2 linked regions of the Oryctolagus cuniculus genome follow. The protein of the gene in region 2 interacts with the protein of the main gene of each other region in a pairwise test. Links are inferred from orthologs where the notes say so. Each region holds a gene or a part of one and is shown on either strand. Other genes may lie near its edges.

Region 1 (8,093 bases), on a different chromosome or scaffold from region 2:
CTACAGCCAGGAGCTAATTGCATAAAAAGCGAAGTGTCGACTCTACACAGGAAAGAAAGCCCACTTGTGGACGTTCTGCGTACCCTGTGGCCTTCCCCTATTTTTCTCTTACCACTTAAAGAACCTGACCTGAGAAACAGCACGGAGTGTGCACGGAGAAAAAGACATGAATATTTTTCACTGCCAGCTTCAAGGGAAGAAAATTTTTTCTACAATTTGCATGAGGGATTTTTTTTTAAAGAATTGTATGTATTCGTGGATACAAACCAAAATGTACTGCACCAGAGAAAAGGAGTGCGCAGCACGCCCCCTGTCCCGCAGCTACGCCGCGCACCTGTCCGTCCTGAGGCGGCAGCAGCATCCCCCTCTTGGGAGCCGAGGAGGCAGGCTGCAGGAGCTTCTAAATGCCTCATCTTTAAATGTACGTAAGTGGAACATTTAATAAAATGAGGGGAAATGGATTTATAAGCTTTGTTTTTCTAGGTAGCCCTGTTCAAGGTAGGCTTTCACAGACTGGGAGATGTCGAGAGGGGACAGGCGCGGTGGCGCAGGCTGACACTCTGCCCACTCCTGCCAGTGTTTTTGTTTTTGACCCCCAGTACACTATAATATAGTGAACTGGAGCATCCCCGCAGCACGGCCAGCGTTTGTCATCTGAAGACGACCAAGGATCCATCTGGGCTTCTCATCCCCAGCTTTTTGCCTGATGCCATTTTACTGACAGACTGTGGACTTCCAAGTCAACCCTTTGCCTCGGAGAAAGTTCAAGAACTACGGTCACATCTATCTACAGCAACTTAATCCTCCTCTGGTAGTCTCTGCAGCAGCCACAGCCTTAGCAGAGCTGGGTTCCTGGCCTCTGCACACTGATTGACTTTGTTGATGGGCAGTTTTTTTAAAAAAATAACCAACAGTGGATCAGCTGGGTTTTGGCCAGGAAGTTGTCTTTGTGGACTCTGCCTGCATGGCTTAGTAGTAGAAGGAAGGTTTTTTTGTTTTGTTGTTTTTTATAATTCAGTTTAATCAATAAACACATATTTATTGACTACTGTCCTGTGTTCAGACTGGATTTGTGGAGATTTCATGCACTTAAACTTAGAGGTTTCCCATCACAGAGCTGGCTTGCTTTCTGTCAGTTCTCACCTGACTCAATAGCTGTAATGGTTTTTGAGTTTGCTGTACTTTCTCAAGAAGGTTTGGACTAGATACACATCAGAATCACTTAGGGTTCATGTTTAAGACAGGTTTAAAATCATTTCAGGGATGGAACATGGCTAATGGCCAACTGGACTTATAGCTAACTCTGACTTTTTAATGAACACACAACACTAATAAGTTTTCTTAAAGTGCTAGAAATTGAGGTTTGCACAATATGCATGTACACGAAACGTTTACTTAGTATTCCCTGTATGAAAGGTGAGGCTGGATGGGTCAGGTGCAGGTTGAAGTAATTTCACACAGAGCAGCTCGATACTAGACACTACATTCGTATCTGAGACAGCAAACGCTAACCAGAAAATCTGTAGCAGTTTAGAATTTAGTATAGCAGGAGAAAATGTTTAAGAAAAACTTCTAAACACAAAAGCCGGCTACATTACCCCGCAGAGATCATCTTCCACATGCAGCTGCCTCTCTGGTAGGCTCAGGTGTTTTCTGTGTCGACACACATGGCATTCTGTGGCTGCTAACCAGAGCTGCAGAGCTGCGCGGTGAGGGAGGTGGCATGTGGCAGCACTCTGGACAGTTCAGCTCTCGCCATGACCCAGTCAGAACAAAACCACTCAGCGAGCACTTAAAAGTATTTGTTTATTTTACAAAAGAAAAGTCTACCTTTGAACCAGGCCAAGTTCAAAGTTAAATGTGTCTAAATTCAGTTCTGGATACTGCATCTGTATTTCATTCAAAGCCACTATAAGGAAGAAAGCATAATAAAATAATGAACTATAGAGAGAAAAGCTCCACCCTCCAACCAAAATCCCACCACCAAGGGAGTTTTTCTGGTTAAGCCCCTCAGAAGGGCTCAGCTCAGTACAGGCCAAGGGGCCTTGCAACTTTTCTACCATCTAATTTTCACTCACCTGATCATGTGGGCAATATCCCAGTTGGTCTCTGCAGACAGTGGTCCCTCGATTTCAACACCTTTTTCAGTTACCGTGGCAATTTGATACTGAAAAATAAGCACAGCTTACAGTGAAAATGGGGGCCCAGTGTTGTAGCACAGTGGCTTAAATAGGTTAGGCCACTACTTATGTCAGAGTACTGGTTCAAATCCCAGCTGCTCCACTTCCTGCTAGCATGCCTGGGAATGTGGCAGAAGGTGGCCCAATTGTTTGGGCCCCTACTACCCATGTGGGAGACCCACGGGGAGTTGCAGGCTCCTGGCTTCAGTATGGCACAGCCCCAGCCGTCATGGCCATTTGGGGAGTGAACCAGCAGATGGAAGAGAGAGAGTGTGTGTGTGTGTGTGTGTTTCCCTCTTGCCCCCTCCCTCCCTCTCTCTTCAAATACAGCTCTTAAAAATAACCAATAAAAAGCCGGCGCCGCGGCTCACTAGGCTAATCCTCCGCCTAGCGGCGCCGGCACACCGGGTTCTAGTCCCGGTTGGGGCGCCGGATTCTGTCCCGGTTGCCCCTCTTCCAGGCCAGCCCTCTGCTGTGGCCAGGGAGTGCAGTGGAGGATGGCCCAGGTGCTTGGGCCCTGCACCCCATGGGAGACCAGGAAAAGCACCTGGCTCCTGGCTCCTGCCATCGGATCGGCGCGGTGCGCCGGCCGCAGCGCGCTGGCCGCGGCGGCCATTGGAGGGTGAACCAACGGCAAAGGAAGACCTTTCTCTCTGTCTCTCTCTCACTGTCCACTCTGCCTGTCCAAAAAAAAAAAAAAATAACCAATAAAATGAAAATGCCCATCCCTGAAGCCTGGTCAAAGGTCAACTAGAGGGTCTCTTCCCCCAGCTCCCCCAGTCCCTAAATAGCAGTCACAGAAGTGAGGCAATGCGCTCCTCAAAGCGGAGCCCCTGAGGATGCCAGCCACCCAGCGCCCACCGCTTAGACGGCCGGCACTTCTGTCCACAGCCGTCCTCACCCTGTTGTAAGAACGGGCGTCTCGATAGTACAGCACTCGCATGCAGCGCTCCACCAGCTCGCGGGCCTCGGCCTGGCTCAGCACCGGCTGCTTCTCCAGGACTTCTCGCAGCAGAGGCTGGATTGGGGGAAACGCACGAGGGTTGCTATCAGGCACTGAGCACCAGGCTGCTTGTCTCAAACCCACAGTGCAAACAAGTGGATGACGGAGCGCCAAACATTGGACTCCCTCGCCAGCAGGAAGGGCTGAGGAGCTGCAAGATGCACTGGAAGGGAAGTCCTAGGGCGTCCTCCCTCTGCACTTAATCTGCTGACTGCTAGAGGAGCCGCCTTGGTCCCTGGAGTGCAGGTGGCAACACTTCAGCCTCCAGACACAAGCAGCTGCTGCTCATATGGATTCCAGGGGAAGAGGCAGACAGCCCCTCTCCTCCTCCCTCCTCCCCTCCCCCTCCCCACTTCTTTCCCCCTTTCCCACTTCCAGATCCACTACTTACCTGAGCCAAGTATGCACCATAACCAGTGGCCAGCGAAGGGGCTTCATAGGCCACACCAAGCATGTCCACATAACCGAGGAAGCTAACAGGACACAACGATTTAAGTGAGCATTTAATCAAAGCTCTCAGCTAAAGGACAGGGCCACGGGGTCTGGGTGAAAGGTGGGATTCACTCGGGGAGGAGAGACGGAAGGGACGCGAGACAAGCTCTACTAGGTCGGGTGGGCAAGGAAGTGGTACGTGTACGCAACCTCTCTCCATCAGCGTAGCCGCCGATGACCATGGTGTTCCACAGAGGGTTCATCTTGGAGCGGCGGCTGTACATGGCCCTGGTCAGCCACGAGTGAATGGCTCTGGGGCTATAGCTGTGTCCATCTCCCAACAGCTCCTCATCAATGCTTCAAAGAAAGGGGGGAAGAATGGAAGTCCTAACCGCCACCCCTCTCCCCCCATCCACCCAATGGCAAAAACTGCGCCCGACCCTTCCACTCCCAACACCTCTCCCCGGGCCCGACTCCGGCCCGCCCCCCGCCCCCCACTCGGGAGCTACTCCCTACTCTCAACTTACACCATTTGGCCGAGCACTTGCTTCAAGTACTGGAAATCAGCGTAGTCTCCGGAGGCACCCAGCATGGTGCTGTTGTTGACCCGCATGATTCGAGAGATGTTGCGGAAACGCGCCAAGGAGCCGTAGGAGCCCAGCATGTCTGCGGCAATCACCACCCCGCCATCGAACTTGACGCCGAGGACCGAGGTCCCGGTAACCATGGGGTTCCTGCGGAGTGCAGAGTCTGGCGACCGCAGCGCAGAGAAGGAGCCCGCGCCCTAGGTCCTTCCAATTACTCTGCCTCCTCCGGGACTCTACTGCGCGGTCCCCGCCTCGCCTCCCCGGGCTCCGTCGCACCCGGCCAGCGGCACCGGGCCCTCGGTCCCTCCCCTACACAGGCTAAGGCGCCGAGGACTTACTGGGTCCGCGCGATCGGACTCCCGCAGAGCGCGGACGCCGGATCCACGGAGGAAGCAGGAGTGGACGGGATGCGGTAAAACTGTCCAGGAGCTGGGCCCCCGGCCCAAAGCCCGGCCCGCGACTCCAGAAACGCTTCCATCTTAGTCACGGTAGCAGAAGCAGTGAGTGCGCTTGCGCCGACGGAAGCGGAAGTGATCTTTCGGTGCCACACTTTTCTGCTTCCGGCAAGCTACTTCCAGCGGGCATCTTGAGGAGGTCATTTCGTAGGCTTGGGTGGCGACCGAGGCGGAAACTGGGCGTGCCCTGCTCCGCCTCTCGTCGCTTCGCCGGGGAGTCTGGAGTGAAAAGGAGTGCTCTGGCACGCGATTCTACGGGAGGGAGCGCGGAGCCAGGCTGTGGGGCTTCGTCAGGACACTTGACGCTGAAGCAGTGAGCAAGTCTCATACACCTTTTGGCTTATTACCAAAAAAGGCACGTGAAAGTAGCACGGAACCCAGGATCTCTTTTTTAAAATGTTTGTTCATACGAAAGACAGAGTGACGCTTTCACTTTCCAGATGCCTGCAACAGCCAGAGCTGATGAAGGCAGGAGCCTGGAGCTCCACCCGGTCCCCCACGCGGGTGGCAGGGGCTCAGACACGTGAGCCAACCCCGCTACCTTCCAGGGTGTGCATTTCCAGGCACCTGGGTCGAGGAGGAATAGCCCGGACAGGAACCGGCACCCTCATAGTTACGGGACGCAGACATCCCAAGCCACGGCTTGCCCACTGCACCCCAGAACCCAGGGTCTGTACCTTCCAAGTAGCCCCATGGGACAGGTATTATTCCACTCATTTCATAGATAAGGAACTGAGGCTTTTGGCTTAGTGATTCCCTGGGTCATGCAGGCAGGAATTGTACAACTGAACCTTAGGATAAAGAAAGGGATCCGCAAAGTTGTGTGTACCCTGTGAGTTAAGATGTCTCAAGCAGGGCCGGCGCCGCGGCTCACTAGGCTAATCCTCCGCCTAGCGGCGCCGGCACACCGGGTTCTAGTCCCGGTTGGGGCGCCGGATTCTGTCCCGGTTGCCCCTCTTCCAGGCCAGCTCTCTGCTGTGGCCAGGGAGTGTAGTGGAGGATGGCCCAGGTGCTTGGGCCCTGCACCCCATGGGAGACCAGGAAAAGCACCTGGCTCCTGGCTCCTGCCATCGGATCAGCGCGGTGCGCCGGCCGCAGCGCGCCGGCCGCGGCGGCCATTGGAGGGTGAACCAACGGCAAAAGGAAGACCTTTCTCTCTGTCTCTCTCTCTCACTGTCCACTCTGCCTGTCAAAAAAATAAAAAATAAATAAAAAAAAATTATAAAAAAAAAAAAAGATGTCTCAAGCAGGGGTCAGCACTGTGGTATAGCGGGTAAAGCTGCCCCTGCAGTGGCAGCATCCCATGTGGACAGAGTTGGAATCCCAGCTGCTCCACTTCTGATCCAGCTCCCTGCTAATGTGCCTGGGAAAGCAGCAGAAGATGGTCCAAGTTCTTGGGCCCCTGCACCCACATGGGAGACCTGGATGAAGCTCCTGGCTCCTGGCTTCACTTCAGCCAGTCCTGGTCCAGTCCTGGCTGTTGGGGCCATTTGGGGAGTGAACCAGTAATGGAAGATTCTCTCTCTCTCTCTCTCTCTCTCTCTCTCTCTCTCTCTCTCTTTCTCTTTCTCTTTCTCTTTCTCTCTCCCTATTCTCTAACTTTGCCTTTCAAATAAATAAAAAAAAATCTTAAAAAAAAAAAAATCTCCAGGAGATCACTCACTCCTGTGGGACCTTAGACAAGACTCTGAACGTTCTTATTTTCAAGTTCCCTCCCCAACCCTTCAAGCAGCAGAAAAATCCCAGTGAGACTAGGAGTGAAAGTGATTCCAAGGGTTCCCTTTTCAATGTGACTCTCAAGCAGGCCTGATGAGCCTTATCAAAGATAAAGCCAGGGGCCAGCGCTGTGGCATAGTGGGTAAAGCTGCCACCTTCAGTGCCGGCATCCTATATGGGCTCCGGTTCGAGTCCCGGCTGCTCCACTTCTGATCCAGCTTCCTGCTAATGCAGATCCTTGGAGACAGGGGTAATGGCCCAAGTGATTGATTTCTGCCACCCACGTGGAAGACCTGGACGTTTGGGCAGTGCATGGGGGAGCATGCTTACTTCCATTCATGCTCGCTCTCTCTCTCTCACTCTCCCCCGGCCTCTCTCCCTCCACTAAACAAGATAAACAAAGCTGGGCACTAAAGTGATAACCAATATTTTTGTCTTTTAAAAATACTCCATTTTGGCCGGCGCCGCGGCTCACTAGGCTAATCCTCCGCCTAGCGGCGCTGGCACACCGGGTTCTAGTCCCGGTTGGGGCACCGGATTCTGTCCCGGTTGCCCCTCTTCCAGGCCAGCTCTCTGCTGTGGCCCGGGAGTGCAGTGGAGGATGGCCCAGGTGCTTGGGCCCTGCACCCCATGGGAGACCAGGAAAAGCACCTGGCTCCTGGCTCCTGCCATCGGATCAGCGCGGTGCGCCGGCCGCAGCGTGCCGGCCGCGGCGGCCATTGGAGGGTGAACCAACGGCAAAAGGAAGACCTTTCTCTCTGTCTCTCTCTCACTGTCCACTCTGCCTGTCAAAAAAAAAAAATACTCCATTTTATCCCCTAATTGGTGACTGCTTTCTCCCCAAACTTCATATTCCACTTGACTCGGGCAACTCAAGTTCGCCTGGACAAATGTCAGGTGCTCAGTTTGTGCTGACAAGTGGGATTACTGGGATTCCTCAAAACCCCTGGGATACCTGGCTCTTCTGATTTGCCAGAACCACGGTCGTATGAACTTGTTGTTAATCAGCCAGCAGTGAACTAGCTATGTCCTTGTTCAGAAGCCCGCAGTGGTTGGTGAGTCTGTTGTCTCACTCCTGTTTAGGTCCTTACATTAAGACCTGTTCCTTCTATTGTAAGAGCAGGCCTGGCATAGTATAGAAAATCTTTAAAGTGTACCAGTCTTCTGTGGGTGGCTATTTATTACTTTGAGTTTAACCAGCATTGAACTCCCCCAAAGTCCAAGCATTTCAGTCAGTTACGCTGGACTGGTTTTCTGACATGTCAGGATGTCCCTGCAATTCTCAGAAAGAACCAAAACTAAACTAGAATTAATGGCCCCTGTCCTCACCCACTCACATTTTCACTACTCCACTTGGAGGGAGTGGAATTGGAACCTTCAACTCCTAAACAGGCTAAGGATCGTTTCTGGACATGTTCAGTGTCCGGCCCCCCGGCTGTAACAGAAACATGAGAGGCAAAGGATGTCCTGCTTGTTCATGGCTGCAGTCCCCTGTCGGTTCCCGCCCCGCCGAGGATGCTCGCGTTGACATCTTCATGGTTCAGTTCTCTGACACCTGCCTCAGCTTTCCCCACACTCGTCTGAAGACTGCCTGCCTTACTGGACTAAATGCCCCATAGAGGCAGGAGCCGCGTCTACCCTGCAGCAGTGTCCTGTGCGGCGGTCTGTTTATTTTGTTGTTGTTGCCATACTTTTTGTCATAGCCAACAAAGCATTGCCA
Region 2 (7,380 bases):
TGAATGGAATGGGAGAGGGAGCGGGAGATGGGAGGGGTGTGAGTGGGAGGGAAGTTATGGGGTGGGGAAGCCAGTGTAATCCATAAACTGTACTTTGGAAATTTATATTTACTAAATAAAAGTTAAAAAAAAAATTCTGTCATTTGCAACATGGATAAGTCTAGAGGCTATCACGCTAAGTGAAATAAGCCAGGCACAGAAAGACAAATACTACGTGAGCTCCCTTGTATCTGAAATCTAAAGATGGTTCGCTCACAGGCGTAGAGAGTAGAATGGTGGTTAGGAGAAGCTCAGGGGGTGCGGTGGGTGGGGTAAGGAGAGGCCTCAGCGAGAGGGCACAAGGTTTTCATTAGAAAGGAGCAGTAACTTCTGGTGATCTCTTGCACAGCATGGTGAGTGGAGTTAACACATGCATTTCAAAGTCGCTCCAAGAGCACACTCTGAATGTCCTTACCACAAAGGAATGGTAAGTATGGGAGGAGGTGCACACCTTGACTCCACTGGTTTGATCACTGCACTAGGCAGTACACTAGGTGTACGGAGACATCACACTGTGCCCCATAAACATATGTCCTCATGGCCGGCCCCTTCTGAATTGGAGGTTCCACATCTGTGGACTCAGTGAACCTCGGGTTACAAATATCTGGAGAAATAAAAATTCTGTGTGTTCTGAACACCCTATAACTGAATCTTTCTTGTCAGTATTGGAGGATTTCCAAAGCTCATGGAAAAAGGAATTAGAAGATGTGCTTAATTTGGTGCAAAAAATTCTGATGTCCTTGCAGTTTTTTTTTTATAATACCCATTCTCCACGAACTTTCTGAAGACCCTGTGTACTTAAGAATTAAAAAAAAAGCCAAATAAACGTGCCTTTTACTTACATTTCCTATAAACTTTGAAGTGTCCAGCTAAACTGATAGAATCATTTAAGCAATATAACTATTCAGATACTATTTACATTCCATTAGGTATTACAAGTAATTTAGAGATCATTTAAAGAGGATATGTATAAGTTACATGCAAATACTATACTACTTTATATAAGGGACTTACGTAGCTCTGATTTTAGTATCCATGGGGGTGTGGGGAGTGGTCCTGGAAATAATGTCCCTTGGATGCCAATTTTTTTCTATCAACTGAAAAAACTAGCCTAAGTGTTAAGGTGCTGGCTGGTATGCCTGCTTCCCACATCAGAATATCTGAGTTCGATTCCAGATTCTGGGTTCTGACTTCAGCTTCCTGAATGTGTACAGTGGGAAGCACCAGGTGTGATCAAAGTAACTGGGTTCCTGCCACCCATGCAGGAGACTGGATTGAGTTCTGTGCTTCATTATTTAGAGAGCTGCATTAGTGAACTAGTGGATGAAAGTTACCTGTTCCTCTCTTTGCCTCTCAAATAAATAAAAAATATTTTTAAAAAATTCCTCTACTTTCAGTTTTTATGACATACAGGTCACTTAATTTGTGGGGGTCAGTTTTGCCCCCTGAGTAGTGGAATTAAAGTCTCCCTATGCACCTCTTATGCTGCATATAAAGATTAAAGAAAAAGGATGTGCCTAAATGATCTGGTTAGTACATATGACTCATACACTATACTTCATTCTCCAAAAACGCCTACTTCCATTTTAATTTCCAGCTAAAAGAGGACTATGCATCTCTGTGTTAAGCATTTTTTTTCCAAAGAAAATTTACATTACAGCTGGCATAATAAACAGTGAAGAATGTTTATACTGGAAGGAATGAGGAGAAATTAACACTGCTGTTGGAGAAAATAGTAATTGTACTCCTACCCAAAAGGAATTCTTTAAATGACACAATGAAAACAACTTATCTGGAAATAAACCTAAAAAAGATGTCCAAGAACTGAATGAGAAAAACTTTAAGGTTACTGAACAATGTTATGCTCCAGGGCATAACCATGTCAATCCTCCCCAAAGGGAATCAATGAAAGCCCAACAAATTCCCAGAGGGTTTTTCACGGCATTTGACAAGGTAATCCTGAAGTATATAATCTAAAATCACAAAAAGCATTATGTTGAATGACTATAGCAATTGTACAAGGAAATTCTAAATTTCCTCATGTAATAATTTAAAGTACACAAAATAACAGAAGAGATCATCATGGATTCATACATACACAACATTATAAAAACATGAATGAAAATGACAAACATCAAACTCGAAAGAGTGGTTACTGAAGGAAATAGGGTCAGAGGGACACTAACAGGTGGCTCAGTTTATGTGTCATCTTTTATTTATTCCTTCAACTGCGTGGGGGATAAAAAGATGCTTGTTATATTATTCCTTAGTCTTTAAAGTTATTTTGTTTGACTTACATATAATTCAGAAAAATACAGACTGCCCTTTCTGTGAAAGCCACAGTAGTATTACATGATCTAGGTCAACCTATTGCCTCCATCAGCCACACCCGAAGTACTTGTTAAAAACAGGGTACCATGATATCCCCAGATCAGGATTTCTGCGGAGGAACTCATGCGATTCTAACACACAGCCACATTAAGGAACCCTTGTAACCCCAAACTGGTCTCAAGCTGACAATGACATTAAACAACCGAATACCTAATCACTTTCCAATGGATCCAACCATCCAGAATGAGGAGGGAAAAACCAGACAAATTCTAAAACAGTCATCCCTTGGTATCTGGAAGACTGGCTGCAGAGACCCTGCCAATACCAAATCTGCAGATGCTTAAGTCCCTTCTATAAAGTGTCACAGTTTCTGCAAATAACCTAAGCACATCCTATTAAATAACCTAACTCATCCTATTATTACTCAGAATACCTAACAAGATGTAAATGCTATGCAAATAGTTGCTATTGCTTAGGGAATATCAAGAAAAAAAAAGTTTGTGATTGTCCAAGACAGATGCAATTTTTTCTAATATTTTCTTTTTTTTTTATTTGACAGGTATAGACAGAGAGAGAGACAAAGAGATAGAAAGGTCTTCCTTCCGTTGGTTCACCCCCCAAATGGCCGCTACAGCCGGCACTGCGCTGATCTGAAGCCAGGAGCCAGGTGCTTCTTCCTGGTCTCCCATGCAGGTGCAGGGGCCCAAGCACTTGGGCCATCCTTCACTGCCCTCCCGGGCCACAGCAGAGAGCTGGACTGGAAGAAAAGCAACCAGGACTAGAACCTGGAGCCCATATGGGATGCCAGTGCAATAGGCAGAGGATTAACCAAGTGAGCCACAGCACCGGCCCTCTAATATTTTCAATCTTTAGTTGGTTGAATTCATGGCTGCAGGGCCTACAGCTAGGGAGAGTCAACTGTATACCTTTAATATACGTGCAAAAAGGCCACACTTGTAACAACTAGGAATATCTTACAAAGCAGTAGTATCAAGTGATTCCATAGAAGAACATAATCTCTTCATACCCTCCACAGGGAATACAGAAATTCCACAGCAAAATCCGAGCACACATGATTAAGAAATATCAATCCTTTTTTAAAAAAGATCTTAATTTATTTTCATCTACTTGAAAGGCAGAACACAGGGTGAGGGAGACAGATCTTCCATCTACTGGTTCACTTCCCAAATGCCCACAATAGTCAAGACTGGCCAGACCAAACCCAGGAGGCTGAACTCCCATCTGGGTCTCCCATGTGGGTGGCACGTGAGCCATCATCTGCTGCCTTCCAGGATGCATTAGTAGATGCCTTCGCAGGAAGCTGGGTTGCAAGCAGAGGTGCCAGAACTTGAACCAGCATTCTAATATGTGACACAGATGCCCTAAGCAGTGGCTCAACACTCTGTGCCACAACACTGACCCCTAGAAAGTACTCTTCTTAAGTACAAGTGGCACAAGTCACTGGCAGCTGCCTCCATGATGACTTCCCTCCAGCACGCAGAGGGAAATGACACTGGGCTTCTTTTTCTTCCCTTATAATACATTTCACAGCTAAATTTGCTTGCAGAAATGTAGGCAATATGAAACAACAACAAAAATAGAAACAAAACAGCTTATTAAAAAAAGAGAGGTGTTACTACAGCAATCATAATTTTCATGGCCTGCTCCTAATAGAATCAAGCTGTTAAAATGTTGGAAACACTCAAGGGTTCTCTCTCTCTCTCCCACCTGCACACCCACACACCTACTCTCTCTCTCTCCAAATATTTCTAAAACTACGACTAAAACCAAGGGGATTCTTTGGATGCTCTCAGTCACACAGACCAGCTGCTCACTCACCAGGGCTCTCCACTCGCTTGTAGTGGTAGGGATTGATGCAGACCTCCTTCTGCTTGGAACCAAAAGGAAACTCACAGCATTCCAGTGGCTTCAGTTCGTGGTGGCTCTGGAGGTCGGGCCAGCGCCACACCCGGCAGTAGATGACATGGGGCAGCCCCTTCCGGTGGGAGACCTGCAGCCGGCCGTCCAGGGAGCGGGGGATGGTGACACAGCTACTCGGCTGTCCCGGGCAGCTCAAGGCCTTCTCCAGCTCCTCCATGGCGCCCTTCTTCTTCTTCAGTTTTTTCACCAGGGCATCCACAGCTTTCTCTGCCCATTTTTCTTCCTCGTCGCCCTGTTTCCACCCGAGAAGTCTCTTCACGGCGGGACTCGTGAAGGAGAACAAACTGGTCACGTTCATAGTGACCACACGGGTCGTCCACTCCTCGGGGCGCGGGGAAGCAGGGAGTCTCCCAACAGAAGGGACAGCAGCAGCGATGTCAGCTTATTTACATAGGCTTCTCTTCAGCGTCGCAGCCTCAAGTCCCGAAAAACAGAAATGACCATTCCTAGTGTTCCGGAAAGCAACCCAAGGCCAGCACCTGGAGAAGAAAGGAGAAAGATCCATTCAAAATCACAACTACCATGGGGCCAGCGCTGTGGCGTAGTAGGCTAAGCCTCCACCTGCGGCACCAGCATCCCATGTGGGCAGCGGTTCGAGTCCCTGCTGCTCCTCTTCCCATCCAGCTCTCTGCTATGCCCTGGGAAAGCAGTGGAACATGGCCCAAGTGCTTGGGCCCCTGCACCCACGTGGGAGACCCGTTAGGCTGCAGATCGGCTGAGCTCTGCGGCTCCAGCCATTTGAGGAGTGAACCAGTGGATGGAAAACCTTTCTCTCTGTTTCTCTCTGTCTAAACTCTACCTCTGAGATAAATACAATCTTAAAAAAAAAAATCACCACTACCACAATTTATTAATCACTCTGTGTAGCGTCCTATCTTAAGTAGTTAGACGTGCAGAGTCCCTGACTTCCAATGGTTCCACCTGCAGGTTTGACTTTGCCACGGGCTTGCTGGAGCATAACCCACTGTGAAGTTGAAGTGCATCCGTATCACAGTATGCTACGGACTGAGCTGCATCCCCCTCTGCCCCATGCATATGTTGAAGCCCCAACCCCAGATGTGGCTGTGTTTGGAGACCGAGGCTCCACGGAAATCACTAAGGTTAACTGAGATCAAAAGGGTGGCGCCCTATGGGACTGGTGGTCCTATAAGACCACCCTCCCACCTCAGCATATCCATGCTCATGCACTGAGCAAAGGCCATGGGGGGACACGGCAGGACGGCGGCCAGGAAGAGCCCTCAGCAGCAACTGCATGTCCAGAACCTTCACCTGGACTTCCAGCCCCCAGAACTGTGAGAACTATGACAGCCACAACAGACCAATCATTGCCATTCTCCTGATTAATAAATGGAGATACCGTTTAAATATATTCACTCTGAGACATGCCAAGGGACATCCTGGTGTGAAAAAGTCCAAGTTCTCAACAGATACCATAATATTTTTTCACAATCACTTATGACCTCTAATAATAAATTTAAAATACATCTCTATCAACAAAACTGAAAATAACAGGTAATAATAAAATTATTAGTCAGAAAGTCTATTTTTTTAAAATACTTATTTGTTTGAAAGTCAGAGTTAGATAGAGAGAGAGAAAATCTTCCATCCGTTAGTTCACTCTCCAGATGACTGCAATGGCCAGGGCTGGACCAGGATGAAGCCAGGAGCCAAGAGCTAGGAGCTTCTTCCAGGTCCTCCACATGGGTTCAGGGGCCCAAGCACTTGGGCCATCTTCTGCTACTTTTCCCAGGCCATTAGCAGGGAGCTGGACTGGAAGTGGAGCAACCGGGACATGCACTGGTACCCATGTGGGATGCCGGTGTCCCAGGTAGTAGCTTTATCTGCTATACTACAATGGTGGCCTCATAACATGTGTTTCATGGTGTGTTACTCAAATATTTCTTATGCTAAATGAAAAGGTAGTTATATTTCTGCTATGTAAATATTGTAACATCTTAGAGTATTTATTCACTAAATAAGCCTATGTCTATGGGCTACAGAGCAAGTTAAACAGTAATTTCCTGATTCTAAAAAACTGCTTTTGGGATAGGTCTGTTGTGTAATGGGTGTCATCTGAGACACTGGCATCCCATACTGGAGAACCTAATTTGAGTTCTGGCTTACTCCACTTCTGATCCTGCTCCCTGCTAATGTGTACCATGGAAGGCAGCAGACCACCTGAGTCCCACCCACCCATGTGGGAGACCTGGATGGAGCTCCAGGCTTCTAGCTTTGACCTGGCCTAGCCCCAGCCCCAGCTATTGTGAGCATTTGGGGAGTGAACCAGTGAGTGGAAAATACCTCTCCCCCACTTTCTGCCTTTCAAACAAATAAAAATAAAAATAAATAAATAAATACAATTTTGTTTTTTACTGATGTGAAAGGAATGAAACCCAAGAACACATACTGTACCAAATTCTTCAATCAAGTTGTCTCAGTCACACCTCCTCTCTATTCTTTACCAGAGGAAAACACAAAAGGTAATAAAGTTGAAGAAGTCCTCTGCCCACCACCTGTGGCTGCAACAGAGGAGCAGGTATCAGAGCAACCTCTTCACAAACAAAGCCCAGCTTTTTAAAGACATCAAAGAGTGACCAAGGCACTCCAGACTTGAGGGGTCATGATCCTGGAGAGAGGGCAAAGGCAGTGAAAAGCGCGCAACATTCTTCACTGCTTTTTCTCTCCAGGTACCTGCCAATGCCTGTGACAAGCAGCAAGAGGCAGTCAAAACTAGCGCACCTTTCAGCAGTCTCACAGTACTAGGGAATCAAAACCAGAGCTGAGAGCCTGCAGACAAAGGGGAGCTCTGCTAAGTACCTTCGTCTTCCAGCTGAGTCTGCTACAGGGAATGCCCTAATGTAGGGGCAAAACTGAAATGGGGCAGTCTGTACAGGTACTGAAACCAGGCCCAGAAGCATCACTTTTTTGGGGGGGGGGGTGTTATTTCTATTTAAAAGCAGAGCTACAGAGAGAGGGAAAGACAGAAATCTTCCATCTGCTGGTTCACTCCCCAAATGGCTACAATGGTGGGGCCTGGGCCAGGTCAAAGTCAGGATCCAGGAGCTTATT

What was found. The genes of interacting proteins can lie anywhere in the genome.
Region 1: the proteins of SMAD1 (region 2) and PSMB4 interact in binary tests that used the Homo sapiens proteins (3 or more experiments, as listed by UniProt). The link is inferred for Oryctolagus cuniculus from reciprocal best matches to the Homo sapiens genes SMAD1 and PSMB4.

Annotation. Positions count from the first base shown.
Region 1 is NC_091438.1:46,687,265-46,695,357, forward strand, and holds PSMB4 (proteasome subunit beta type-4), read right to left. Parts: upstream 4,681-8,093; coding exon 4,541-4,680; intron 4,350-4,540; coding exon 4,143-4,349; intron 3,973-4,142; coding exon 3,826-3,972; intron 3,657-3,825; coding exon 3,575-3,656; intron 3,199-3,574; coding exon 3,082-3,198; intron 2,168-3,081; coding exon 2,075-2,167; downstream 1-2,074. UniProt on the Homo sapiens protein: Non-catalytic component of the 20S core proteasome complex involved in the proteolytic degradation of most intracellular proteins. This complex plays numerous essential roles within the cell by associating with different regulatory particles.
Region 2 is NC_091439.1:19,275,471-19,282,850, forward strand, and holds part of SMAD1 (mothers against decapentaplegic homolog 1), read right to left. Parts: intron 4,791-7,380; 5' UTR 4,610-4,790; coding exon 4,210-4,609; intron 1-4,209. UniProt on the Homo sapiens protein: Transcriptional modulator that plays a role in various cellular processes, including embryonic development, cell differentiation, and tissue homeostasis.